Alligator mississippiensis: one gene and its partners. The protein of the gene in region 2 interacts with the protein of the main gene of each other region in a biochemical or structural test. Links are inferred from orthologs where the notes say so. Each region holds a gene or a part of one and is shown on either strand. Other genes may lie near its edges. The genes, in order: KLF5, GSK3B, LRP6 and RICTOR.

Region 1 (7,026 bases), about 140 Mb from region 2:
TGTCTTGATGTGCGTTACACATGGTCTCTGGGATTTGTACAGGCCAGTTCTGAGGTGACTAACATCAGGAAGGAAGACATTCATGTTGATGCTGTAAGGCAACCCTTCACTGTCAGTGAAGAACTGGTCAACAACTGAGGCACTGTCTCTTCTGTATTTTTTATGTTCAGGGATAACAGGAATGGGTGGAAGCTGCGGTGCCAGATATTTCTCCATTTCACATCTTGTCTAAATAAAAAACAAAACATATAATCCACATGATTTGTTACCAACCCACAGACCAGATGACACATCAGTCATGGGAGAATTCAAAAGTGAAAAAGTAAACTATTTTAGGAAAAGAGTATCAATATACAAGTTTCATCTCTTGGTGCATTAATCGACACCTACAAAAACAAATCAGAAAGTATCTCTCAAATTATTTATGCAGGAAGAGAAAAATATTTTTGAAAGCATAATCACCTAAACTATTTCCTCCTTTTGTTTGCAACTGAACAACGTGCACAAAAAGCACAGCCTTTACATCTAACTTGTTTCTGCAAGACTTGTACTCTGTTGTCACTATTATGCATGATTCTCATTCTTCTCTTTGAAATAGTAACTGTAAAAGTCACACCTTCTGACACTATGAAGGTCAACACTAGGAAGTTAGGAGTTTTAAAATATTAATTCTACTGGACAGAAGCCCCCAGCAGGTGCAAACTAATAAGCACTATAAAGTAGAGAGAAGGGAAAGACATCAGAAAGTTACTACATATCTGTAGTAAAAAAGTCTCTTGGATTGAAGTAAGGCTTCTTAAAGATCAGCAAAACCTATAATTGGTTAATAACGTGACAAACATGTTCCTATTCATGTCTCAATCCTAAGAGAGTTCTTTAATTACTTACTAGGAAATCATTCCCTTAGTGTAGTAGTGCTAGGGAATCCGTGGGTGGCTCAAGCCTGATACATTACTGGTACAGTCATCAGTAAAACATTTATCATGTACTCTCCAGTGGGCAAATGCTACATTCCCCCTTCCACTGTAAAGAGTCCAGTCATTCCAAAACCCTTCAGCACCCCTAAAACAGAATGCAGCTGACAAACCGTAAGTCTACTTAAAAACTACATTTTGAGAGCTTTCCTCAGAGAGGAAGCACACGTGCGTGTGTGCACACTCTCCTCTTTTCTTTGATCTAGATCTGCCCTAACATGCCAGGCTACATTTTCCAGCTCTTGTTTACAAGCCAAGGGCAGCTTGCTTTGAAGTCAAGCATATTTATTCTTTGAGAAGATATCATTGAGCCACAGACTTGAAACATCCTTGCACTCAATATTCATCATTATAAATTCTCAGGAAACAACGTTTCCCCTCCCACCCTCCCCACTTCAATCTCCCATAGGGACTGAATCAGTCCAGTTGAGTTCCAAGGGAAGGGCTATCTATTCCTAGCAAAGGACTACGCTTAAAAAAAAAAAAAAGAACTGAGTTTTGGGAGCAGGTGAGTTCCTGCATAGCTTACCAAAGACTTTCCTGCTCAGTTCACACTGTGCCCTATACAGTATCAGTCACATACACACATATGCACACATTATATTATGCATGTGCACGGGTGTCTACACAACCGCACAATATTATAATAGTATATACACATGTACAGTACACATATAATATTTAATTTTTATACATACACACACACACACACACATATACATATATGGTGTATGTATACACACACAGTGGCACTCGCACAATATTATATATTGTGCATGTGTATACACACACACAGGTGTATGCGTTTGAGTGCCACTGTATATGGCACTGCGTGAACTGAACAGGAGTGTGTGTACATATACACAGAAGTTCAGTGTTTCGGGGGTGCTGGTTGTAGCCTCTCCCTCTGCCTGAAGAAGGGTGTTTATACCCAAAAAGCTTATGACTACCGTGCAAAGAACAATTTTCCCAACCATTTAGCTGGTCTAATAAAAGCTATCACATCTACCCAAAGAACTTCATCTGCCTCCATACGGCTGTGTAGACACATACATATATGTGCACACACATATACATACGCATGTACATATGTATACACACAAATGTGTGTGTATATGCGAATACACATATACATACACACACACGTTTCTGTGTATAAAATATATCGGTATTTGCATATACACATATACATACACTCACACATATACACATACATGTTTCTGTGTATATAATATGCATGTATGTATTTGCATCTATCTACACACATACATAGACAAACGTGTGTGTATATAAGACATATGTATGTATTTGCATATACATGTATGCATACACTCACTCATATATAACGTACATAATCTTGCATGTGCACATGTGTGTATGCGAGTGCCACCGGACACACTCATAGTGTGCGTGTGCCCACACCCCCAAGCACAAGCCGCTCCGGCGGCCCCTAGTCACCCCAAGTGCCCGGCCCGGCCCGGCCCGGCCCGGCCCCAGCCCCCGGCGTTGCCGCCGCCCCGCCAGCGTCGCGCGGGCCCTTCCCAGCCCCTTTCCCGGGACGCGCAGAAAGTGCCGGGCAGCCCGGCCGCCCCTGCTCCAACCTGACTCCATGCGTGGGCGGCAGCGCCAGGCTCGTCCCTCGCCAAGTGCAAGGGCAGCAGCTGGAGCTTTCCCGGCGCTGCTGCCAGCGGCTGATCCCCCGCGCCCGCCCCGGGGGTCCGGCGCCCCCCGCCCCGCAGCGGGCAGGTAGGTGCCCGCAGGCCCCGCCGCCGCCTACCTGCACCAGCTCCTCCGCCCCGCCGCTCCCCGCCTGCTGCTGCTGCTGCTGCTGCTTGAGGTCGGCGGCGGCGAAGAGCGCGGCGCCGCGCGCGCCCAGCAGCGGCTTGAGCTGCGCGAACACGGGCTCGTCGGACTGCGGCGGCTGCATGGACGCCGGGCGGGCGGTCGTGGCCAGCACCCGTGCGGCCATGGGCCGGGCGCCGCTCCCTGCCTCGGCGCCGCTCACAGCGCCCCCGCCTCGCCGCGCATCCGCCCGCACCTGGCCCGGCCCGCGGGAGCTCCCAGCTGCTGCCCGCCCGCCCGCTACTATTTCACCTCCTCCCCCCGCTCGGCCCGCGCAGGGGGCGGCTCGGCGCCGCACTGCCGCCTATGGCGAGCGGGGCCGGGCGGGGCCGGGGCGGGGCCGGCCGGGCTGCGAGGAGAAGCGGGTCTCTCCGCTCCCGCGCTCGCTCCTGCTCCCGGGCCCGGCCGCGTCCGGAGAAGGGGCCGGTGCCTGTCAACAAGTGTCGCCCTCGCCTCTACAGCCCTGCTCCTGATGGGATCCCGTCTGCGCCGCCCTTGTCAAACGCCGCGCCCGCCTCTTCTTCTTCTTCTTCTTCCACAGGCTTCACGTCAGGGAAACAGCCGCGCCACTGTCTTTTTCTTGGTCCCGTCTGGGACCTGGAAACCTGCTGCTCAGAAATGGCAGCCTGCACAGCCCGCAGAGCTCCCCTTGAACACGGATGGGACACAGCAAGAGCCAAGGGAGAGGGAAAGAGAATCGTTTCTCTTGCTCTTCTCTCCAGAGGAAAGTTCCTATCTATTCACCTCTTGCAGCAGACATGATCTCTTTTCTTAGACCAACAAGATTTTTGCTAAATAAATAAATAAAGTCCCTAATTCTATTCATCTGGTTTGTATCTGCCGGTCTGTCAAAAACAGCGCCCCTCCTAATGCACAGATTACACAAGGGAAAGAATTCCCTCCAATTTGTAGGCCGAAGGGGCGGAAAGAAGGGCATTATGTACATGAAGGTGTTATGGAAAAGCACAAGCTGTTTGTTGGGAAAGGCCATAAAGGAAATTGTACTTGCACCTTCACTTCTCCCAGCCAGGTTCTGCAGTCCACGGTTTATGTTACGATAATCACAGATCCCAAGGAGGTGGTGAGAGCCAGCCACCCTGCCTTTGCTGGCAGGCTTTTGTTACATATCACAATCACTGCTCTCGCCAACCTCGTGCTCTCTTCTTCAAGCACGACCTGTAAGGGAGCCTGAAGGCAGAAAGATAATTACAGAATCAAGAAAGAGTTTGACCAGTTCTCTTACGCAGATGCTTGGTTTATCTACGTTTGGAGGCTTCATACTAAAGTAGATTTGGCCACTGCCTTCGGTCCTTTAGGATTCAGCCTGATGCTGCTAATTCAGAGTTATTTCAATCTAAATCCTGTCCCATATACTCAGCCTCACCCAGTATCTACTCCTAGCTTTCCTTTCCAAAGTATCTCTAGTGAAACTGTATTCTCCATTCAAACTTTCCAACTGAGGGATTCCCTTCACCTGAGCGCTTTTTAAGTTCATTTTTTTAGTTATAGACTTGTAACTCTTCATGTCTCTCATATTCACCTTTTAAAACATTTACTTACATTTTGATTTTGACTTGGACTCATAAGACTCCAAACTCTACATACAAGGTCTGAGCGTACCCCCCTCATAAATCAAATTAAAAGTTAAATATAAATTGGTCAGCCATAGCGTTAACAATGCAGTGTTTTAACAACATGTGAACGCACAGACCAGTACTTCACTCTCACCTAGTTTTTCTCAAAGATCGGATGGAACGTAGGGCCCTGGCAGAGCTTCAGGTGTAACCCACACCTTACAATATATCACCTATTTGCATTCATTTATGTAAATCAAACATCTAGACTGCTTTAAATATTCCCTACTCTTGTTGATACATGCGCCCTAGTTACATGTTTGCCATCTACATGTTTAACCGAACATTAAAAAGATCTTTTTAAAAATTATTTGCTTCCTTTTCATGTTAAAGTCCTACTCCTAAAAATGTTTTGGCAAGTGCCAATCTTCATGCACCCAAGCAATTCCAGTGAGAAAATATATGTAATACGTTTAGAAGCGGGCTCGAAGTATGCTAAATTTAAAAATGACAGTATAAACTAAGAACAAGCAAAACCACCTTTCTTTGTTACTAGGAATGGGCCTTGTGCTCCTTTTTTTTTTCAAGGAATAGTCAGTGGAAGATTAGTAAAAAGTAAATAAAGAAGACACAACGTATTTTCTGTTAGCACTTAATTACCATTACCAAAGTCACTTCAATGATTGTTCAGAGTCACTTTCACTGATTTATCTGACCAATCCACTGCTGCAAACTTTAGATTACAGGTAAGGTAAACGAATATTTAAATCCAAGCAAACAATTGATTGAACATTTTTTAACTCCATTACCATCAGATTTTTTAAAAACATTGAAACCTGTGTTTGATTTTATAAAATTGCATTTAATATCACTAATAAACTGACAGATGGCTGGGTACATTTAAGGAAAAAATTCCTAAAAGAAATATTAGTTTGTAGTCAAATAATGTTCAGGGAGACCCAACTCATACTTATAGTAAATATTTTAGAGTATTTCCATTTGTAACTGATTATCGAGCTAGAAGTTGAGAATCAAATTATGCTTTAATAAGCAAAGCTGAATAAAAGCTGTATAAAATCTTTAAAAATGAGCATAGTGAAGTATATTTAAATAAGAATGTTAGTGTAAGCATCTCCTTGCCTAGGCATATGCGGCAATGGTCTGGGTAACCCCTCATGCATACACCATAATCCAGGAGGACTGACAGTTGCCGAAAAAGGTGTAAGCATTAAGAATTAGTGAAATTATTATAAATAACCATTTCTGTGTTGCACAGATCCCTGTTCATCCCACAGAATATAACTAATTTACCACTGAACAAAAGTAAAAATTAATGTTTATTGCAGCATTAGTCATGCAGATTGGGGTATGTGACAAACACCTTCCAATGTGTTTAGTCACTGATAAGAAAGGCACAATGCTTTGCACTCAAAAAGGCATTTTCAGATTTAGTAAAAAAGGGTTAAAACTTTTGAAGCTATTCAAGTGCTCCAGGTTTTGAGTGGGCATTGATCCACACATGGTGAATGGATGTAGATTCAATGACTTTGAACTTTCTTATTCTTTGCATTCCTCTTTGCTTAGTAGTGCCATACCCGTTAGGGAAGACAGGAGAAAACAAGAACAAATGTCAAGTTTCAGGCAGTTGGAAGTTTGGCAGTAGTTAACAACTATAAGCACTGCCTTGTGGGAAAATGGGTAGGGAGCAAAAAAGTTTAGGAGGGGTGGATGTGGGGGTGGGGAAGCTTTTAATTTGTAGATCTCCACAGATGTAATCCTAGAGTAGGCCACACGTTTCACTGTCCTTGCAAGGGGAAAGGTGCCAAAGTGTGTGGGGGCTGCATGTGCATTATTGAGGCTGTCAGAGCGGGGGTGGAAAGACACGGATAAATTGCTCCATAATAATGAGGTGAAGGAAATCTGAGGACCTCAACAGAACTGAGCCAGACTTTAAGCCACACACAGATGTCCAGTCACTTCAAGAGCTGTTAGCAGATTCAGGGACCTATTTTCAATTAGTTTCGGTCCATTTAATTTGATTTTTCATGTAACCTAACTGGAAAAGAGGAACTATATATTTCTTCCTCAAGTAATATCAGTAGTCACCTGAATTTTTGGCCAGCTGTTTGAATCTCCCCTTCCATACAGCCAGTGGGGAAGTGGTGTACAGCTGCAGAAGGCTAAGGAAGCATGGGAGAGGACCTGGCCCCAAGAGTCTATACGTTCATAAAGACAACTGTGATTGCAGAAATCCATGGATGTGCAAACTTATGCTGCCCTTATCAGGTGTCTCTTGTAGGACAGACAATCATTAAGCTCACAGATCCTCTGTACACAACTACAGAGGGGAGATCTTTACATAAGGGTGAGCTATCCTTAATCAGCTTTTTAGAATGTTTAGGGCACGTGGCAGAGCAGTCAACCACAAAAGAAGAGAAAACCCAAGAAGAGGCGCTATTAAAGGGGTAATACAAAAGAATACACTTATTTTTTTACAATAACAAAAAATCTTTGAGAGCTGTATCTAAGGGGTTTCTACAGAAGAAAAAAACTGCAAGGTGTGCAATGCAGAGCTTTTATCTTCCTTTTCCTTGCACAATATATCGAAACAGAACCAGCACTCTTACCTCAGGGGA
Region 2 (7,236 bases):
CAGTCTGCTGTTTCTTTATGGGCAAGTCCCTGCCTAGTCTTTGACCTCAAAGAGCATAAACATCCACACACCAATCTTTCAAGAATAAAGGAAAGTTTGCATCAAAGGCTAAAATGGTCTTGTGACAGCTCCAGTTCTGGGTCTGTTTCACATACAGCCACCTGCAGAAATACTGATTAACACTGCCTGCTTCCTATTACAGATCTGATTAATCAATATGAAAAAAAGGAAATCAGTGTTCCACATAAATTAAGAGCCTGAAGTATATTATTGTTCAAGTTAATCAATGAAATAATCTTATGTTGCTAAAGTGGGCAAACCTCTATGTCCCTGTCCCGCTCCCCACATACACCCCCTCATAAATGCTGCAGGCACTCTGATCCCGCAGATGAGAGGCAGGCTCCAGATCCTGAACTCCAGTATCTCTACCAGGCTCCAACTGCAGCAGGAGACATTTCAGCACAAAAAGGCAGGAATCACCAGCAGCTACATAAAGGCTTGTGATCACCTACAGCCTTAGGTTGAGGCTAAGGCTTCAACGTATAGCACAGCAATCTAATAGAGATACAGCCTTGCCAGGTGCAACTATATTTAGGCATCCAATTGATCAATTCAATAGGGATGTCAAGGTCCTTTAACAAAGCTTCCCACAGTCCTGCCAGAATAAAACTGAAGTAGCGTTGAAAGTTGCGTTAAATCAGGGATACGCAAGAATGTTATAGCTTTGAACGTGCACGCAAATCAACAAATTCCAAATTAAACACGTATCATGGATAATTAGACACAGAGAGAGGCCTTTTTCCTCCAATATGGAGGAGGTACCTTGGATAAGATTTCTAATTCACCTCAAAATCCTCCTGCCACAAGCTGAAAAATCAAGGACAATCACGTATTTAAACCACTTGCCCAGTTCACAAGATGCACATAACACTTCTGTTCAGAATAAACCACAGGCCTCAGCCTTAAGAATAAATCCTTCAAAAAGGTGAGAAAAGCATCCTGCATCTCCAACAAGGTCTTGATACAGTCACAAACCACACAGTAAAGAAGTCTTTCTGCCTCCACGCATTAAAAAAATTAAATAAAAAAATTGAGCCCCATGCACAAGCTACTGCAGGGACGAACCTCCCGCCACTCTCCCTTGAAAGCCTGCACAAAAGGTGTTCACACCCAACTGGAGGTGAACCGGTATGGCACCCAGCACCCGTTTCCACCGTGGCAACCAACAGAGCTTTAAAGGCATCTCCAACATGAACCAGTCATGAGTGCAGCTTCAAGCTGGCAATTTTTTTCCTCTTTTTTGGGTGGGGAAATAAAATAAATTTAATAAATAATTAGCCAAAGAGTCGAGCACACAAATAAGCAAGTCATGAAATAACTAATTAGGCAAATAATTGAGTGCACAGATAGGCAAATGATTATTGGCCAAATTCATCTGATTAAGTGCACAAAGCAGCAAATAACTGAGTGCACAAATAGACAAGTAATCGAGTGAATTAGACAAAAAAAAAATCAAGTGCACAAATAAAGCAGATCGGGTATGATTGAGTGAATTAGACAAAAAAAAAAAATCAAGTGCACAAGATCAAGTGAATTAGACAAATAATTGAGTGCAAAAATAGGCAAATAATCAAATAATTAAACCAAAAAAAAAAAATCAAGTGCATAAATAAGCAGATTGAGTGCACAAATAGGTGAATGATCAAGTGAAGTAGACAAACCGAGAGCAAAAATAGGCAAGTAACCACATAATTAAGACAAAAAAATCAAGTGCACACACAAACCAATAATCGAGTGCACACATAAGCAAACCATCAAGTGAATTAGACAAAAAAAATCGAGTGCACATATAGGCAAATCATCAAATTAATTAAACAAAAAAAAAAATCCAAGTGCACGAATAAGTACATAATGAGATGAACCAGACAAATAATCGAGTGCCCAAATAAGCAAAGAATGAAGTGAATCATCAGACACAGGATGAAATGAATGGGGAAGGGAGGACTAAGGAGGCGGCGGGCGCGCAGGCCTCAGACCCCTGGCGGGCAGAGGCCGGCCCCGGGGCGGCCGGGCAGGGCGGAGGGGAGCGCGCCCGGGTCCCCAGTCCTCCGGGGCGGGCAGGCCTTGGCCGCGCGCCCATTGAAGGGTGCCAGGGAGGCGAGGCGGGCCGGGCCGGGCGGATACTCACTGCTGACTTTCATGCTGCCGAAGGCGGAGGGCTGCTGCACGGGCTTGCAGCTCTCGGCGAACGAGGTGGTGCGGGGCCGGCCCGACATGGTGCGCGGCTGGCGGCCCCGGCGGGAGCGCTGCGCTGGGCCGGGCTCAGGCGCCGCGGCGCGGCTGCCGCATGAAGCGCGGCGCGGGGCGGCCCCGTCCGTGCCTCCGCGGCGGCGGCGGCGGTCCCTCGGCGCGGCCTCACAAAGCCATCCCGGCCCCGCCACTGCCCGCGGGTGCGCTGCGCTGGGCCCGGCCGGTCCCCTTGCCGCCCCTCCCCCGCCGCCTCTTCCTCCTCCTCCTCCGCGGGCGGCGGCACGGAGCGCCGGACTACTTGGCGGAGGGATCCCGCAGGAACAGGATCCGGCACGGGCGGGCGGAAGAATCTGCGCGGGGTGAGGCGGTTGCACGGCCTGGCTCCTCAGTGGCGGCGGTTCCTCATCGCGGGCGGGGCGGGCTGCAGTGCGGACGGTTCGCGGCGGCAGGGCGGGCCATGTCGGCGGGGCTCGGCGGCCGCCCCGCGGGGCACATAGGAGCCACCCGGCTGGCGGCCTTGGGCGCTGCCCTTTGTCCGCGCTCCTACTACTGCTGCAGCTACCGCTGTGCCGCCGCCCTACGCTGCGTAACAGCCGCAAGCGGGCTCCGAGAATGCCGAGCCGAGCGCCGCGCGCTCCCACCCGGCCCCTCACGGAAACAGCCGAGTGACCTCGGAGCCCATCCCGCCGCCTCGGAGCCAATGGGGGAGCCTCGGCGGAGATGGCCGAACGCTTCGGATCCAATCGCATGCGAGAGGTGGAAATGGACGAAGCGGCTCGGAGCCCAAGGCCGGCCCAATGGCAAAAGGCTGCCGCCGCCCTAGCAGCTCGGATCGGAGAGCCAATAGTGAAGGGGCTTCTCCTCCGGGCGTTTCCGAAGATGGGCGAAGAGGAAAAGCCAATCAGATGCTGCCTTACTCCTATTCCCCGGGTTCAGAAGGCTTCCACCTGATACTAGGGGGAGGTGCGGAGCTACGGAGGCCGAGATTGGCTACGTTTCGCCACTGTGATTGGCCAAGGGGGATGAGGCGGCCTGAAGACGCCAGCCAGCCGCCTGTGCTGTGCCAATCCTCAGCCGCAGCCTGGCTGCAAAGCGCGTGCCCATTGGAGGGGCGGAGCCGGGCCGCAGCCGGCGTCCTGTAGGGGGTGGGGGTGGGAAAGGAATCCAGCCCATTCATTCCCGTGGGGAGGGGGATGGTGCATGCGTCATCTTGCCCCTCTCCCCCACCCTCCCCGTGACCTTAAGAGGCTTGCGGGGAGGGGGTGTGCGCTCCAGGCCGGGGGTCAAGGTCCCCCTCCCCAAACACGGCCATGGGGGGGGAGCTGTCTCCCCCAGCCCCACCCAGGGCAGGCTGGATCGTGCCCCAGCCACCACTGTCCTCAGTGCTGCCCATGACCTTGCCACAGGACAACCGGGGTAGCACAGTGCCTCAGGGCTGCCAGTCATGGGCTTTGACCTTCCCCCTGTGCCAAGGAGGAGAGAAATAATAATATAAATATTTTTGCCCATAATTAAAAATCCAGCTTGGGCCATGCCACCTGTGCCCCTCACAAGAGTTGGGGTGTGAGGAGCACAGGCAGCAAGGCCCTGGGTGCAGAGTGACGGCTGGCCAAGCCTTGCCATCAGAGCTGTCCTTGCCCACAACCTTCTCCTCTTCTCACAATATTGATGGTTTCAGGATCGAGTGTGAGAGGGGGCAGTCCAAGGCTGTCAGCCTAATGTTCGCTCCTGCTTTCAAGGTGCCTTGGGTCACCTGGAGTTGGATGGGACCAGGCTAAAAAAACTTCAAAATAAGATTAGGAAAACTTCAAGATATCCTGAAAATAGGTTTTTGTGTGTTAAAGTGCCCAAGGCTGCATACCCCCTGGAAAGGTATGAATCCCCCTGTGATCAATTTCTAATTCTCCTAAGTCATAAAATACCAGACTTTAAACCTGTCACTGCAACTGCACTGAATACTGCTTTCCCTGGGCAGTGGGTAATTTGGGTATAGATGTTCCATTTATTTGCTTGCAGGTTATTTTTCAATAAAAAACCCATCATAGGCATTTGAAGCAGCCGATAGCATATGTCTGGAAATCTGGCAAGAACCCAGGAATTACTGGGCAGAGGGGATATGAGAGGTGGTAAAAGGTGTGTGGGGCGAGTTGCAGAACTACATGGCACCACACAGGTATCCATAGACCTGTTAGTACCTTTGGCCTAGACTTGGCCAAAGGTACTAACAGCTCTATTCCAAAGCAGAAAGCTCACTCAAAACAGTCTGGTTCAGCAGTTTGCTCACTCCCGTACAATCTAGCCAAGGATGCTATAAGTTATCTGGACTCTCCAGTAAATGACCAATGTCTTTACCTAGACCTAGAGACCAGAGAAAGTTCATGAGATATAAGTTAGGGCTGGAAGGAACCTCATGAAACCATCTCCATCTCCCTGCTCAAGGAGGGCTTATTCCTAGCTAAACTATCCCAGCTCTATGGCTGTCTATCCTGTGCTTGAAAGTATGCAGGGATGGAGATTCCACAACTTCTCTAGGTAGCCTGTTCCTATGTATGACCACCCTCGTAGTCAGCAAGTTCCTCCTGATCTCCAAACTAAATTTCCTCGGTTGCAGATTGAGGCCATTTCTGTGGCCTATCCACTATAGCCACAGAGACTATCTCCATCCTCTCTATAACTGTTCTTCTGGTAGTTGGAGACTGTTGTCAAATCCTTCCTCAGTCTTCTCTTTTTAGGCAAAATAATCCTAGTTCTGTCTCAACCATACATAGAAACAACAACACTATTGAAAAGCTGAAAGGTTGATGCTTTTAGTGTATGTTGTAGGTTTTTAGTACTAGTGCATCTAGTAGCATAACTAGGATGGGGTGACTAAGACAACTACCGTAGGCACCAACTTGAGAGGGGGTATGGAAAAAAACTACCACTGAAACTGCATAAGTCACATTGGCAGAATGGCGGCAGTCAGAAGTCACCACTGCCCCAGGTGCCCAGCTGCATTGTTATGCCTGTATACCATCCTAAAATCTCAGCAGCAGAGCAGAAGTGCCGCCCCATGCCCAGCACCCAAACCTCTCCTTTAAGAAAAAGCTTTCCTAAAAAACCCCCAACACCCCTGCTATTCAGAGCTCAGCCATCCCAGAGCCCCCAGCTAGAAATTCACACTTTCCTGTCCCCTCTCAGTAGGACCAGATATGGGCTGCAGATTGGTTTGGATCCCTCAAAAACATGGTTGTTTAAAACTAGGAATTTGAAAGCCTTATACTCTCACACATCAAATGTTGCTAGTTGGCAAAGAGACAGTCTAAAAATTGTTTGCTCTATGTGAACTACAGTAACATTGCTTGTTACTTGTAGCAACAGGAAATAATAAAAGAAAATCATACTGACTTGAGATATTTAAGTTGATTGTATCCATTTTAAACATGTCCCCTTAAAAACTTTATTATAAGTTTACTGTCTTATGATAACTGAAGCATCAGCCTCATTGACCTATGAAATTTAAGACTAGACCTTAAAAACTCTTTCTCTTGCTTATTCCAAATTGCAGCGCTATCTACCTATCAGAAACCCCAGCCCCTCTTTCCTTCCCAAACTGACTTGTACTGAATTCCAACATTTTCATCCATTTCAACCCTACTTATCCCACATCAGCCAACTACATGCAAAATACTCATTACAAAAATCTACACCTGGTTATTTTCACCAAGCTCATCCTGCCTAAATCTAACCCATAACTGAGCTATAGCCTCTACAAAGCCAATATGCTGCAATCATAGCCCCAGCCATTCAATTTTCTGAAGTCCACTCTAACTTTTGGGGCATTATCGTTGATTTATTAATGGAGTATTAAAGGACTGGATGGGTGTTAGGCATCTTCAATTTCTGTTCCAAATACTTACAGCATAGATTATTTCCACTGTTAAAATTCCTACCACAACACAATGATCCCATATTCATTTTAGATCTCCCTAAGAACTAAAATCAATTCTGGAAATTTTAAGTCAGCTAATTATTGTTTATGATTGAACACTTTATATTGATAACACAGTATTGCCAACTCCACTGTGCGAAAAATCATGAGACAAACTTAAAAAATCAAGAGATTGTTATGTAAATCATTAAATGCCATTTTTTAAGTATGTGCGGGGGGGGGGGGCGTTATTTGTGAAGGTGTGGGGGGGCTATGGATATGAGTGTGAGGTTTGGAGCCTGGGGAGGGAGGATCCCCTCACACCCTGGCAGGATGTGGAGTACTGTGGATCAGGAGTGAGAGGCAGCAGCAGGGCTGAAGTGGCTGTGGCTTGGGAGTGAGGGGCAGACACACGGGCAGACAGGGACAGCACTCAGCTGGTAAGTGGTGGGGGAGGGCAGATTGAGGCCCACCCCCAGGGAGGGAGGAAGTAAGGCAGGAGCTGGTGGGAATGGGGCCCTAGGGTTGGGGCAGGTTGTGTGGCAGGCAGCTCATCCAGAGGCACGGAAGGCAGGGGGTGCAGCTCAGCTCCCTGCAGCAGTGTACACTCCCCTCCACAGATGTACCAACTGGATGCTTTTTACACACACTGGAAGGAAAATCCCAAAATGTTAGGGTTGTATCCTGAGATCGCAAGTTAATTTGATTTGGAAATAAGGAGTCTCATGACTGTTTCATGAGAATTGGCATTACTGATAACATTGTAATGAATCTAAGGTTCTTTTTGTCCTCTTTACTTAACAAAACAACATGATATTGGAACCTGAAAGCCATACATAACAAGTTGCTTTCAAAGCAAGAATAGTTAGGAGGTGTAAGCCATTCATATTTTTCCAAATTGTAAACATGAAGGACTCATTTATAAATGAAAATATTTAAATTAAAGATCTTTCATTTCATTCAAGCGTCAGAAAAGCCTGTAATATCTGCAGATTTGGAAGATATTATTTAAGTTGAAGTGTTATCACTGTAAAATGCCATAAGGTGGCACTGAATTGAAAACTGGTGTGTGTTGG
Region 3 (7,926 bases), on a different chromosome or scaffold from region 2:
TTTATTCCGTTTAGTTAGCTAGCTTCCTGATTAATTTTAAGTCAGAGACAGTATTTTGCCATCTGTTCCTTTCACTGGGTGCATGTCTCAACCACAATGCAAGCTAGGCATACAGCTTGAGCCAAGCACAAGGGTCAAACCAAAGCCTCAAGGCCTCTGGGTCCCAATACACGTGACTTCTGGGGAAAGGCCACAGGAATTGGGCTTATGTAGTCTGAAGAGAAGACTCAGGGGGTGGGATTTAATTGCAGCCTTCAACTACCTGTCTGTAGAGTGGTTCCAAAGAAGATGGAGTTAAACTGTTCTCAGTGGTGGCAGATGACAGAAAAAGGAGAAATGGTCTCAAGTTGCAGCAAGGGAAGTTGAGATTAGATATTAGGAAAAACTGTCTCACTTGGAGTGTAGTAAGGTACTAGAACAGGTTACCTAGAGACGGGGTGGAATCTCCATCCTTGGAGGGTTTTAAGGCCTGGTTCGACAAAGCCCTGGCTGGAATGATCTAGTTGGGGATGGCCCTGCTTTAAGCAGGGGGTTGGGCTAGATGACCTCCTCAAGTCCCTTCCAACCTTAATTTTCTATGGTTTGGTGGAAGGGGTAAAGGGGGTTGGGCTCGATAGCTCAGGGAGAGATTCCTCCCCCCTTGTGTTATACAATTCACTACAGATTTTGCATTCCTCTTTTTAAAAGGTTAATAACTTATTTTAAATTATGACTGTACAATTTAAATTACACTACAACATTATGCAATTGCTATTTCTTCTGGACCTAGCTCAGATAACATTCTGCTTTTCCTGCAATGCTGAGTTGTGCTGACCAGGGCTGGATATAGGTCACTTGGTGCCTAGGTGCAGGTAATAGAATGCCATCCTTAGTGACTTTTAGGGGTGCCTGGGACACTCCTGAGTCTCTTTACATTTGCCCTTCCTGCTGGGAACAGACCCCCGCTTCACTTACCTGCCAGGTCCTGATGTTTCTTTGGGTTCTGAAGAGGAAGCTGCCCCAGGGTTTCCCAGTAGGGTCATGAAGCTCAAGAACACCTTGCAGTGACGAGCATCAGCCTTAAGGGCTCTTTGTATGCTTCTACCTTCCCTTAACATGCTCTATGCCTTATAGGTGTTGCCTGTATACCATCCATTTGTGGGGGCTTCAGCCTCCTGAGCTTCTGCTCCTTTTTATCTGGCTAGGCCTACCAGCCAAGGTCCACGATTTAAGACTTGACTTCGAGGCCCTAGCTCAACAAACCACTCTGGGCTCCTGGCCCGTTATACCACGGCACTGGGCTCCCCAGTCTCTTTAACACTGCACCCCTGTGGTGCTGAGTTGTTGGGGCCTCAGCCTTCCCCAACTTTACCCCTTATTCTATACCTTGGCCTCCCAGCCTAGGCCCACTTGGTAGGACCTGACATTGAGGCACTAGGGCATCCCTCCACTCCGGGCTGCGTGCCCTGTATGGTTGTGCCTGCTATAGCACAGGCTCTTTAGCCCTCCAGCTGTGCATTGTGGACACTAATGAGGTCTCCACCTCCCCTACAGCCTCAGCCACAACCAGTCTAAAAAAAAACATAAACAATAAGCCTCTGCGCTATAACAAAAATAAAGGCAAAGAAGACAATTTGCCTGCTTATGTTTCCAGGGTCTCTGTCTCTCTGCATCCCACCACTAGCTGCTCGCTCTCTCATGAAGCTGCCCCTACTTTGTGAGTTCTCAGGAATCCACTCTCTCTGCAACTTAATCCCCCCCCAGCCAGTTTAGGCATCACTTATGTAGTCCTGGCCTGAGCCCTCTTCCAATCACCTGATGCCCCCTCAGCTGACCAACCAGCCAGACTCAGCTTTTAACCCCTTTTCTGCCAGTAGGATGTGCCCTGAAGGCTCTGGTCTTAAAGGGGCTGCCCTGCTTTCCAGTAACAGGGCTAGGGTTCCCTGTTACAGTGCAGCATGGCATGCAGAAATCCCTGCTCTGCCCCTGAGGTTTGCATTCTCCAAATGCAGTGGCAGAGGCAAGGGAAGCCATTTTCCCCATTAAGAGACAGAGGGCAACATTTGGTGTCATTATCTACCCTGCAATGGCAACAGGGGCCCTCTCTAAGTCCCAGAGATTTCCAGCGTTTCCCAGTATCTACCCTGACTGATGATGAAATCTATTTGGCTGGTGGCATAGCTGTACCTCCTTTCACACATCAGGTACTGCCTCACCAGCAAAAGGACACTTGCTGGCATACAAGCATCAACAAGCAGGGTATTTTTTCTGGCATCACTATGTTGGTTAGGTGGCTTGATTTATTTTTTTACATGCTTCTAGTTGACTTAACTCTGATAGGAAAATCTTGTAATGTAGATCCAGCTCCAGCAGACATCACTACTTTCGTTTACACTATTTATATTCTCAAGCTTGTCCTTGCAGTCATTAAACTAGAAACAACCTACTTTATAGAACTGTTTTCCATGGAAGCTGAGATTCAGATATAATCACACGGCTTCAGGACCTGGGGCCTCATGCAAGATCCATAATCAAGTCAAGTGAGTTCAGAGGTCACTGTGACCACTGGGGCACCTTAGATGCTGTGCATTATTGGTGATTCTTCAGGCAAAGTGACATAGTGGCACCCATCTCCTCTCCAGGTATGGGATGGCCGCTGTCTCACAGGGAGCTCATCTGCCCTTTGACAAGTCTTGTTTTTATTTCTGCTGGGTGTCCGCACATACTCCTCACTCAGGCTAGCCTGGTGGGAGCACCGGTTTAGTTGCCAACAACCCGACCCAGAACAGGCTGTACTGGTTTACATGGTACCAGAGAGCAGACCAAGAGAAGCCTGGCTTGACAGATCCATAATACCTAATTTTAATCTGGTTTTGATGCTGATTTCCTGTGATAAATAATAATTTGAAAGAATAAGCAATTATGAAATATTTGTTGAGCAAGTATTCTTTTTTCTGTGTTTCTGATAGGTCTGAACATGTTATGACCATTTAATGTGATATTCTCTCACCTTCTGCCGTAAACGTTTGTGTATTAGAATTGTGTTCTATTAAATGGTTGTTACAAGGCAGATAAGAGACAAAGTGGTGGGTAAGTCCTTATGTATGTCTCATTGTATGAATCAGTAAATGGAGCTTGTAATGTGAATGAAAGAAACTAATGAACAGAAAATGTGTCAGTGGATCCAAGTACAAAAGACCAGAATACCTTGGAAAAGAAGTATTTTAAAGTTCTTATAAATGGATAACCAATATACTGTGCCTCACAAAACTGTGAAAATCTATTTATAGTAGTTTTCCAAGCAAGGGATATATTTCAGTGGACATTATTTGGGGAAATGGTCCAGAAAGTGTGTTTAGGTATGAAACATAGCCTCTCTGTTTTATATTTGGGCTTTTTGACCACTTTCAAAGTAAAAAGGGAAAAATAATGGCGACCAAAAAAAAAGCAAACAGGGACATTTGTGTGAGCAATTGATCAGGCAACATTACTGCAATTAAGCAGCAAAATCCTGACAAAAGGATTAAGGTAAGCAATGAGGAAAGGCAAGATTGTCGCTTGCCAGTTCGCACGGGGGACACGCACACAGATCATAGCTTTATTGTACAATGCAAGTTTTTTTTTGGGGGGGGGAGGAGAGACAGGCTACTGATACTCGAGCACTACACGACTGAGCCAGTTCGTTCCTTGTCCCCACCCCCGGCAGCGGTTTTCAACCCTGTTTTCAGACTGGAGGCCCCCCCGGGAAAACTCTACCTCTGCTTTGAAGATGGAAAAATAACAGGGCAGCTTTTCCCTCCCCAAGAGCTGCGAAGGGCCACCACAAGGCAGAAGGTTTTGAATCCTAGGGATTCCTAGTTGAAGTCTCTGGGTTCGTCCCGGGATCCACCTTGCGTCCCCTCACGCCCAGGGCACACAAAGGAGACCCCAGTCCCCGAGGTCGGACACGTCGCGGCTGCTCCAGCGGGACCCCGCGACCCGCTGCCGGGGGCGTCGCATGCGCTCTGCCGCTGCCTCCCCGCCAGGGGAGCCGCGCGGGCCACCTGCAGCACTGGCAGCGGATCAGGCCGCCCTTTGTGACGCGGCGGCTGCGACTCCGGCTGCTGTCCTGTTCCCGAAAGTAGACCCGGCTATCCCGCTCCCCGAAGGAAAAGGGAGGCGAGGAAGAAAATAGTCCCGTTGGTATGCCGCCGCCGGCGGATGCGTCCCCGCGCCTGTGCAGTGAGGTTTGCAAAGAGCCGGGGCTGCGGGACGCGCTACACACAGTGTGGTGTAGGACAGGGCAGTGGACGGAGGTGGTGTTATGCGATGTACTCCAATGTACAGTAATGTACAGCAGTGAAATGCGATGCACTCCAGTGTAGTGCGATGCAATGTGGGGCAGGGTAACGCACTCCAGTGAATGGATTCATAGATAATACGCGGCAGGAAGGGGCCTTGGAAGACTGTCGTGTCCCGCCGACCTGCACCCAGCAGGAAAGACAGCTGGGATCAGAGAATGTGATGCACTGCAGTGTAGTATAGGGCAGTGAAACGCGATGCAGTCCAGTGCACAGAGGTGCAGTGTAGAGCACTCCAACGCTGCGTGGCGTCCGGCAATGCAATGCACTCCCATGTAGCGTGCTGTATGGCAACACAATGCAATGCAATGCAACGCACTCCAAGGCAGGGGAGGGGAGGGGAGGGCAGTGAAATGCAATGCGATGCACTCCAACCCCCGAGTGCAGTGCCGTGCAATGCACTCCCACGCTGTGTCAGGCAAAGCAATGCACTTCCGGCTGCCCAGCGCACGGACGCACGCAGGGAGAGGGCCTGGAGGCTGCAGGGAGACAAGCGGGGCGGGGCGCCGGTAGGAGGCGGGGCCCGTATCCCTGCGCTGAGCTGCGCTGCGCACACGGCGGGGGTGGGCCAGGCGCTCTGATGGGGGCTTTGCAGCAGCCCTGGCGCGGCGGCGCGGCGGAGGCGGCGGCCTGCTAGGCAGGGGCAGGAGCGCGAGCGCGCCGCGGGGCCCCCCGCCCGCCCGCCGCAGCATGAGCCGGCCGCAGCCGCGGGGGTGCCGCCGCCCGCCTCCCCCGCGCCGCCGCCCGTGAGAGCCGGGGACATGGGGCCCGCGCCGCGGAGACTGCTGCTGCTGGCCGCGCTCTGCGCCCTCGCGCGAGGTGAGGCGGCCGGGGCCATGTTGCGGCAGGGAGAGGGGCTGGGGCCGGGGCCGGAGGGGCTTCGGGGGTCCCCTGAGGGTGGCGCTGGGCTGGGCGCGGGCCCCTTCTCGCCTCCGTGTCCCCGCTCCCCTCGGGCGGGGGCCGTGGGCAGGGCATGGGGTCCTCTGCGTGCCGAGGGGGAAGGGGTGGTCTAGAGGCCGGCCTTGGGTTGAGCTTTACTCCCGCCCCCCACAACAAACCAAGCGCCCCGTCGGCAAGCAGCGTACGATGGGTTTCTTTGAGGAGCGCGGGGCCTGGCGGCTCTGTCCTGAGGAGTGTTTATGGTCCTTCTTGAGCATCTTGAGGGGCGTTAAGCTCCTCTCATCTGTCCTGAGAAGTGTTTAAGGCTCTGCTGAGCTGTCCTGAGAAGCGTTCACATCCTCCTTATCTGTCCTGAGAAGCGTTAGGCTTCTCTCTCCTGTCCTGAGAAGCCCCTCACATCTGTCCTGATACTTGTTTCAGGCCCTGCTGATCTGCCCTGAGAAGCGTTTCAGGTTCTGACCCTGTCCTGGGACTTGCAAGAAGTTTGTGGTCCGGAAGCGGTGGGTTGCAGTGACTGATGCTCTGCATTTTCAGAGCTCCTCTGAAAGCTGGCAGTTGGCTGCCATTCAACGTTTTTAATTGAACTCCCCCCCCTCCCCCCCTTCCTGCGCTGTGGAGCACAAAACTGCAGCCAAGGGATTTCTGTGCTGTACGTTTGACTATAATAACTGTTTCAGCTCATCTGAAATGATCTCTGTTGGTTAGGAGGAGGCACCTAGTTGGCATCTTTTTTTTTTTTTTAATTTACTCTTTTACACAGTTAATAAGGAAGGGGGGGAGGCTTTGATACTATTGGGGGGGAAAAGCAATCCCATTTTTTACTTAAAAGCTGGCCAGCTGGCACTAATGAGTTTGTTTTGATGGGAACTGGAAGGAAGGTGGTTTGGTTTGGAGGAAGTGCTTGATAGCCAGTTGCTCAGTGCTCTGGAAAAGCAAGATTTCGCCACGGCAGTCCTTGTCTTCCCATGCATCTGTTTGCCATATTGTATCCTGTTGGAGGGAGAGTTATACTTAGGTACATGAGCTGTGTAACATTTCATGCCCTACTTGTGCTAGAAAAGTTTGATTGGATCTCAGGAATAGGAATGAACCAAAACTTTTCTGAATACAGCATTTTCTTATTCATGTTTTCTTCATGCAAATGTATCTAGCTCTAACTTTGTTTATGACTTGGCTATTTTTTTTTCCTTTCGCTATAGTGGCAAATGGAGGAGGATTTTGGCACTCATGACTGTCATTTTTTCAAATTAGCACACAGTTGCATATACTTTGCAAGTTTTCATGAACCCTGTGATTCTTAGGGAGAAACTTTTGAAAGACATTAAGTTTGTAAATCATCCTGGATTGTCACCCCCCCCTCCTCCCATCTTTGTCTGTTGCTAAAGACATTTGCATCAAAACAGTATCTTTGTTTCTTCAGAGTTCATCTGCTCCTGCTGCTTCTCTTCCCACCTGAAGTCTTACTCTCAGTGACATTACAGTAATTTCCACAGCAGCTAATTGTTATTTTGGATACCTATAAGCAGCAGGAGCAACTAGCTGAGTGCTGAAAGAAAGAAAGCTTGAATTTTCATGCAGATGCCCTTTCTAATAAACAACATATGATATGCAAGCAGAATTGGCTCCAAGTAAAATGTATTCAGTTTTCAAGAGGTGTCAGCAGTTTCTTAATGAGGCAAAAGCAGTTGCCAGCTTGAGAATGTTAGAGGTATGATTAAGTTTATACATGCAGGTAAAGGGGAAGTTTGGCATATGTGTGTTTACTTCTTTCTTTGTGAACTCAGCACTGTGAAATGTGCCAAACTAACAGCATGGGAGATGTGAAGGATGCTTGATGTGCAAAAGATGCAGTGGAACACATGCTTTCTTTGCCTACCTAATAGCCAGATGACAGCAGTAATTTCTGTTAACGTGCCTACCAACCCAGAGTGAATTTAAACCAATATCCTGGAAGTATAAGGTTGCAATTAAATCCCTTATGATTAAGACTTGGAAAAATAGCAGACACCTACTAGTTAAAGTGGATATGTAATATATAGGACCTCTTCACCAGTCCTGGGACTGTGAGAAGCCAGGCCCGCTACCAGGTGCAGAGTGTATGTTGGATTTATAGTGGGTTGATGTCTCTGGAGCCTACTGAAAAGTTCCTTTGCTTGTGGCAGCCTCTGGCCTACTTTGGCAGCTGGAAAGAGAATATGTGAGGAGTCCACCTTATCCTAGAACTGCCCAATGGCTGGAATTCTCTGAACAGCAGCAGTGCCTGCTATTGCTTGGAGCTTTCTCCAAACTACAGAGGAGTGTGATGGACTTGGTTCGTGTCAGCTTCACTGTTTCCCACTGCATTTTAATAGTAGCTGTGAAACTGCTGGAGTATTATTAGATTATTCAGTGCTGCATGGAGGCAGCAGTAGCCAAGGAAGATGATACCACTTAAGTTTACATTTGCAAACTTAACTTTCCTGTCAACCCTGCTAGGTATGCATCAAAAGTTGACTGAATAGAAAGCTTATAAATCATGTATGGGCTTTACATATTGCAGTATTTGAATACTGAACAGGTCTGCAGTTGTGGTTTGGGTCAGTTCTGTAAGAAATGAAGTGTTTGGTTGGGGGACTGACATTTCAGTGATTGCTTTTTCTCATTATGTGAAGAGATGTAGAATTTGTTTGGTAACTATTTTTATTGGACTAACTGTGTAGTTGGGAGA
Region 4 (6,837 bases), on a different chromosome or scaffold from region 2:
TTACATAGAAAGAACTCTATGATATCTCACTACAAAAGGCAACTGGAAGGAAGAAAGACATGCCAAAATTATACAAAACAGTCTGAGCCTGTTTGAATTATTAGCACTATTTCTGACCTAGCTACACAAAGACAACTGTGTGCAAGTCCTTGCCACATGTTTACCTGTCATTTTGGTCAAGTCAATGCTCAATTAAAATCTGCTTAGAACAAGTTATTATTCACATATATACATACATATATATACATGGAATAAGAGATGCTCATAAACAGAGGTAAATTAGTACATAGACATGAATGTACTAATTTATCAGATACTTTATTTCAGTGGTTTTCATATTTAGTTCTCTGAAAAATAAAGCTTCATTTAAAAGAGTATCAAATTATTAAAATGTTTTGCAGCAACTATGGCATATATGCAATACAATATGAGACAGACAGACAGACAGACAGACATTAAAACTATGTTTTATAACAAAGTATACAGATCCTTCTCTAAGTAAAATATCATTAAATTAATTATGTATAAAATTGCTGCTATACAAGTGGAGGAAGAAAATGAACATTCATATTGTATGCAATGATGTCTATTTCAAGTTACATAACTAGCTGTGATGTCTTGCTGGGGCACACTCGATTTGCTTCTTGGTGCCTTGGTTCTCTCTTCTATAAACTGGGAATAGTACATCTTGGAGGAACATTAGGCCTAGCACATGTTTCTAACATGAAAACATTCTAAAACAGAGGTCAGCAGTCTTTTCAGGAGACAGGCGAAAGTGACCCAGTTTCTGACAGAAGCTGGCATGCGGGTGGGCACTAGGACCCAGCCATTGCCACTGATTTTCTCCAAAGTGGCACACCGAGTGAGCCTACCCCCGATGCTTTTCCCCATAGAAGTTCCCTGCCACCAAATGCCACCAAAGCACCGCATCCTCTAGCCAGATTAAGTACCTCCATGGACCAGATGTGGCCTACTAGACACAGGTTGCCAACCCTGAGTAAATTACATTAATACCTGATCCTTATTTCAAAACTACATGCCTTCGGCAGGGAGTACAAATGAAATTCAAAGAGGTCCCATATGCAGCTCTAATTGGGGGTTTACAGCAAAATATCTGCCAATTTAAAATTACCAGAGCACACGGCATCTTTTTTCTATTATGTTACATTAAAAACGGGTATCTAAATTTGCACACAGCCAAATAACTTCTCTATTCAGCAGCACCCAAAACTGAAGTAGCAGACTCAGAGCATTGCAAAATACGATCTCTAATTTTAAAAAGACTTATAGATGCGATACAAAGTTATCAATCAATATGAAAGAAACAGGTGTCACTTCCACTACTGTTTTCTCAGAATTGGGGTATTAACGTTTAAGGTTTCACCATTCTCAGAAAATGGCAACTTCATTTTAGGTTGTGAGTAGAGTATTTCAAAACTTATACAAGGCTTATAATGACAGAAGAATAGGGTTTTGCAAGTAATCTGTAGAAGATGCCTAAATAAATAGAAAACTATGCAGTTACAAGAAATTATTGGGCATATATGGGAATCATAAATGCCCAATTCTACAAGCTTGCACATATTCTCTCTTATGCACAAGGAAACCCAAATATTGCAGGTGAAACGATCACATGCATGTTTGCAGGGTAGGGGACTTAGCAGCTCATCCGCTGGCAAAATTCTCACCAGTTCAGTTTTAGAAACCCATCTATATGATGTATTAATAGCTAGAGTTTAAAATTAAGCATTTCCTCAATTAGAAGGGTCAAAACCCTGAAAATAAACAGATCTGCTTTACAATAAATCTCTCATGACAGGGCTCATACTAGAAAACGTTCTGGTGTTGCTCTGTCACAATGACACTTAACTGACAGCCATACAGATCCCTTAAGTCAGTGGTTCCCAATCTTTGGTACGGGTGCCACCAGCACTGCGCAGACAACCTGTCACTGGTACATGTTAACAGATTTATTATAATTACTTTATATGAGAAAATCTGCTGGTGGTACTTAAGGTTTTATTGTTTTAAATTGGTGGTGCGCAATTTTTCAGAGTTTGGGAACTGCTGCCTTAAGTTATTCCCGACCAGCACCCTACTTCCATTACACTGCTGGGCCTATTTGGTCCCTTTGCTTCCATCTCTTCGGCCCTGCTGGATTTCTTGATAAGCCGCGTGCATCCAGGGTGGCGACACCACTGGGTCTTCTGAAGCAAAACACTCAACTCCTTGCAACCACAGAGGCTGAAACAGCCTCAAGTTCTCGACCTGCAGCAGCAAAGGAAACCCGCAGGGCTCAAACGCACACACGCGCACGCACATGCACAAAAAAAAATGAAAGTTACCTTTGTGCTCTCGGAGCCAATTTATTTTTTAACCCTCACAGAGAAAGCCCCTACATCCCCCCCCCCCCCTTCCCCGCCACGCTGAGGCAAGGTTTACACCCGGGAGGCCGCGATTGTGCACAGCGAAGGGCTCGGTCGCCTGCGCGGCGTGGCGGGGAAGGCCCGCGGGCGCCCACACCACCTCGGCCACCTCCACGCGTCGGGAGGGACCTTGCCGAGTACCAGCCTCCCAAGTCCCAGGGGAGCGGAGGGACGGGGAAGGGACCCATTGGGGTGTGACCGGGCGACCTGCAGCCGGGAGCGGGCGGGGTCGCTTCCCGTTAGTGCCGCAGGAGGGGAGGGGAGAGGAGGGGAGGGGAGAGGAGAGGAGAGGAGAGGAGAGGAGAGGAGAGGAGAGGAGGGCCGGGCCCCGGGGAGGGGAGGGGCTCCCGCCCGCCCGCCGGCCCCGGTACCTCGGCTGAGATCGAGCGGGACGTTCTCCTCGCCGCTGTCGTTGCGCCCTGCGGGGAGAGAAGCGACAGGGTCAGGCGGGGCGGGGGCGGCGCTCGCCCCCGGGCCGGGCCGGGCCGGGCCGGCGCTTACCTCGGATGCGGAGGTGCCGGAGCGAGCGGGCGCGGAGACTCACCGCCATGTTTACGGCCCGCAGTCACAACACCGGAAATTTCGCGCGCTCTCGCGAGAGCCGCGACCCCGCCCCGCCCCACCTAGCGCGGGTGCGTCACGCCGCCCCGCCCCGCCTCGCCGCGCACGTGGGCACGGGGGGGGGGGGGGGGGGGGTTGTCGCCGGGACGCTCAGATCTTGCAGCGCGAGGTGGGTGCGGTTTCGGCGGCTGGGTCTGTAGTGCGAGACCGTCTCGTGGACGCTGCGGATGATGGTGTTCACTGCAAAACGATCGTGCAATGCAAACAAATATGCCGAGAATCTTCTTTATCTTCCTCCCTAATTTAGCAATGAGCGATGGAGAACTGGGCGGTCCAAGTTGAAGCGTTTCTTGATTTCGAGGCCAGCGGTGGTCAGGAAGTGCTGGCAGCAAACACAAATGTCTTTAAAAATTCCCCCGTGTCATTTCTTTATTTTCTTTATCTCTGATCAGTGGGCTCAGATCAAGCGTAGCCTGTGCTTGCCTGGCAGGGGAAACGCCGTGGCCACGGAGCCTGTCTTCCTAGCCGCACCAGGAGAGACAGCTCCGCTGGCAGGGGGATAGGACCTGCAGAGGTAGTGTATAGTAAACCTCGCACCGAGCTGCTGGAGCGAGGAGGTCTTGGCTTTACGCCCACTTTATGGAAAGGGGAGGCTGCTCCCTGGCTTGCTCCTATGGCCTTAGGGCGACTGAAACTTGGGGGCATCCACCCTGCAGGTAGGATGCTCGCCAAGGGTTTTGGAACCATCTGAAGCCCCAGATGGGGGTGGAGGGTATATCCCGGTAGTAGGGCAACTTATGGCTCTGGACTGACTTGGATTTGGAATTTGTTTTGGTTCATTCAGCTTGCACTACAGAATTTTTTTTAAAAAAATTCTTAATTCCCTACGTATGGGGACTTTTTGCCATCTTTAATTTTCCCTGAGCCTGAGGGAGGGCGTGTGAGCTGGAAAGTTTGCAGAAAAAGATAATTTTTTTGCAGTTTCTTGGTCTAATAAAAGGGATCATCTCTGAACCAAGATGTCTTTCCATCTCAGACCAACATGGCTGCTGAATGCATCCTTTAAAAATTACCCTGTATTTTGAGCACCCTTAGTGTTATTGATTGTACATCATACAAGGGTTGAGATATTGTACAAATATGATGATTACATCTCGCAACACTGACTGGGAACAGATGAACAGCAAAATGAGCGGGAGTGAGTGTCAAAGGTTGATGACGTGCTCCAAGAGGGGGCACCAAGCAGAGCACCCCCACAGTGTCCACTGGGCCTCCGACCCACCCAAGGAGCCAGTGGGCACTGCCCAGTCAAACCGCCCAAAGATGTGAGAGGATAAGGGATAGGAAAGTGGCCCTGCAGTCACTGGGGGTCCCCCTGGACAAAACCTTCTTCCTGGTTAGCAGACCTGGACGCAGGCATGGGCGAACCAGGCAGCCGCCCGGGGCCCAGACAGGGGGGCCTGAAAATGAAAAAAAAATTACAATTGCAAAAAAAAGTTTTACTATTGCGCATATATGGGACTGACAATGTTATCAGTTGAGAATGAGCTACTGAAAGACATCAGTACCACAGATGAAATAAAGACTTTTGCAACAAGTCCAATTATTATCAGTATCTCTGGCGAAGGGGGGCCTGATACTAAAAGTTTGAGTGAAGCCACTGCTATTAGAAGAGAGGAAGTGCAAGTGTGGGAGAAGAGGGACTATGAGACAGGATGATTAGCTGTGGTTGTAAAGCTATTTTTGTAAAGCCGCCAGAAGTCTAGATATGGCATTGCTGGTTAGGTTGATGGCTAGCTTGGCTAGGGCCAGGAGGATGGTGGCCAAGAGGTCCTGGGATTTGGTGGGGCCAGGGATGAAGAGCATGTAAACAAAAAGATGCAGGGATTAGTGCAGCTAGAACCTCAGCTGGAGGCTTTGGAGGAGGTGATGAAGGGGCTGCAGCCTGCCATACTTGAGACAGGCGTGTGCCAGGGTCTCCCTCTGCTCACAAAAAGGCAGGTGTTACAGAAATCTGAAGCACACCTGATACATGCCAGTAGAAACAGCTTTGGAGGAGCTACCAGCTGAGGTCCCAGATTGCTTGCAGGATCAGCGTGGAGTACAGGGATGGAGTATAGGCTTGACCCTGCTGAGGGTGTCCTGTCACTTGGTATCTGCTCCTGTGTGACACAAGGGACTAAGCAAGGTGTCAGGCCCTTCGTGGCTTCTCTTATTAAAGAGGGGGCTTATGGTTTGACCCAAGAAATGGAAGTTCTTATGTGGGCTCCCCTTACTGAGGAGGCTGTGCAGCTGGACACTGACTTCCTCTGGCATCATTCAGCCCCTGCAGGGACATGTTGGTCTGTCCTGTGAAATGACTTGTCCCTTTTATTTGGGGGTTTTTAATGAGGTTTCCCCAATTGCTTTTCCCTTTTTCTGTGTGTGCTTTAGGCCAGTGTTTCTCAACCTGTGGGTCGTGACCCAAAAGTGAGACAAGAATACAGGAAAGGGTCGCAAACAAACTATAAAAATAGATTCTCCTTTAAGGAGAAAAATGTGAGAAACCATGAGTTTTCCCTTGCAGGGTGGCAGAGATTTCCAGCCAGCGAGGGGCTGCTTGCCTCCCTGCCCTTCCGCACACCTTCCCTTGCCCCACACACTGGGGGGCTGTGGGCAGGGGGCAGTGGGTCAGGACTGGCCACTGATGTGTACAAATGGGTCCTGGTACAAAAAAAGGTTGGGAACCACTGCTCTAAGATGAGACATACATACATCCCTTGATCCATCACACATCTAGTTTCATCAGACATCCATCACTCATTCAGTTGCATGTGTACATCCATGGGTTCTGTGTGCAATATGCTTTTCAGAGCATTTGATTTTTAGAGATGTGAAATGAGAACACGATACCTTAGAATCAACCCAGGGTGGAAAAATTTTATTTTGTTCCTAAGTGATATCATGGGTTACATGTCAACAATATCCTCCATTGATGCATTTCTTTTAGCTGTTTTTATAAAATACACTTCTTTTACCAACCCCCCCCCTCCCCCATTGATCACAGGGACTCCTATCACAAAAACACCATGTTTTTTACTTGTCCCATTCAGGCAAAGGTCTAAATCAACAAACATGCCTTACATTGTGCCCTGAAGGTCAGGATGAACAACAAACAAAAACAATTCTTGCCTTCAAGGCCTTCCAACCTCCAGGAGTTCATATAGAAGCTATGTCAAATTGAAAGGCAAGGGTGAGGGTCTGCCATTTAAAAAAAATAGCTTTACAACCAAAGCTAATCATCCTGTCTCATAGTCCCTCTTCTCCCACACTCACACTTCCTCTCTTCTAATAGCAGTGGCTTCACTCAAACCTGGCATTACATATCAAAATCTTATTTTATTTATCAAATACCACAGTGATTAGAAACTGATTGATATATGAAAGATTTTAAATTGTCCTTTGTGATACTTTCTCCCTAAAAACACTAATATTGATTCAGTAGACTTAAAATATCACCTTATAATGTCATGAAAGCAATTTTTAATTATCAAAATCAATCCAGATCAGAGTTGAGGAGGACAGTGGAATACCTCTTAAATCTTAGGTATAACAGATCATTATAAACACATGAGAACCCTGTCTTCACTGGGATTCTGGCAAGCCTATAATGTAAAAAGCTGACTCCTTTAAAATGTCGTTAACCTTTAAAATCATTGTCATGCTCCTCCAAATCCTGGGATTGATAACTTGGATAACAATAGGAATGGACAGAAGTGACAACTCTGGCCCCAGAAAGTGCTCTACAGCTGTGACCTAACACAAGTACATGGCTGCAGAGCCCTTTAAAAGGGCCCAATCCCGCAACAGT

What was found.
Region 1: of the proteins of GSK3B (region 2) and KLF5, one has a biochemical effect on the other in vitro, tested with the Homo sapiens proteins (2 studies listed by BioGRID). The link is inferred for Alligator mississippiensis from reciprocal best matches to the Homo sapiens genes GSK3B and KLF5.
Region 3: of the proteins of GSK3B (region 2) and LRP6, one has a biochemical effect on the other in vitro, tested with the Homo sapiens proteins (2 studies listed by BioGRID, with this or other methods). The link is inferred for Alligator mississippiensis from reciprocal best matches to the Homo sapiens genes GSK3B and LRP6.
Region 4: of the proteins of GSK3B (region 2) and RICTOR, one has a biochemical effect on the other in vitro, tested with the Homo sapiens proteins (2 studies listed by BioGRID). The link is inferred for Alligator mississippiensis from reciprocal best matches to the Homo sapiens genes GSK3B and RICTOR.

What each region holds. Positions count from the first base shown.
Region 1 is NC_081824.1:389,872,015-389,879,040, forward strand, and holds the start of KLF5 (Krueppel-like factor 5), read right to left. Parts: upstream 3,023-7,026; 5' UTR 2,944-3,022; coding exon 2,752-2,943; intron 229-2,751; coding exon 1-228. UniProt on the Homo sapiens protein: Transcription factor that binds to GC box promoter elements. Activates the transcription of these genes.
Region 2 is NC_081824.1:253,049,562-253,056,797, forward strand, and holds the start of GSK3B (glycogen synthase kinase-3 beta), read right to left. Parts: upstream 3,018-7,236; 5' UTR 3,000-3,017; coding exon 2,189-2,999; intron 1-2,188. UniProt on the Homo sapiens protein: Constitutively active protein kinase that acts as a negative regulator in the hormonal control of glucose homeostasis, Wnt signaling and regulation of transcription factors and microtubules, by phosphorylating and inactivating glycogen synthase (GYS1 or GYS2), EIF2B, CTNNB1/beta-catenin, APC, AXIN1, DPYSL2/CRMP2, JUN, NFATC1/NFATC, MAPT/TAU and MACF1.
Region 3 is NC_081827.1:137,072,730-137,080,655, reverse strand, and holds the start of LRP6 (low-density lipoprotein receptor-related protein 6), read left to right. Parts: upstream 1-4,921; 5' UTR 4,922-5,080; coding exon 5,081-5,138; intron 5,139-7,926. UniProt on the Homo sapiens protein: Component of the Wnt-Fzd-LRP5-LRP6 complex that triggers beta-catenin signaling through inducing aggregation of receptor-ligand complexes into ribosome-sized signalosomes.
Region 4 is NC_081826.1:276,976,004-276,982,840, reverse strand, and holds the start of RICTOR (rapamycin-insensitive companion of mTOR), read right to left. Parts: upstream 3,008-6,837; 5' UTR 2,977-3,007; coding exon 2,928-2,976; intron 2,846-2,927; coding exon 2,798-2,845; intron 1-2,797. UniProt on the Homo sapiens protein: Component of the mechanistic target of rapamycin complex 2 (mTORC2), which transduces signals from growth factors to pathways involved in proliferation, cytoskeletal organization, lipogenesis and anabolic output.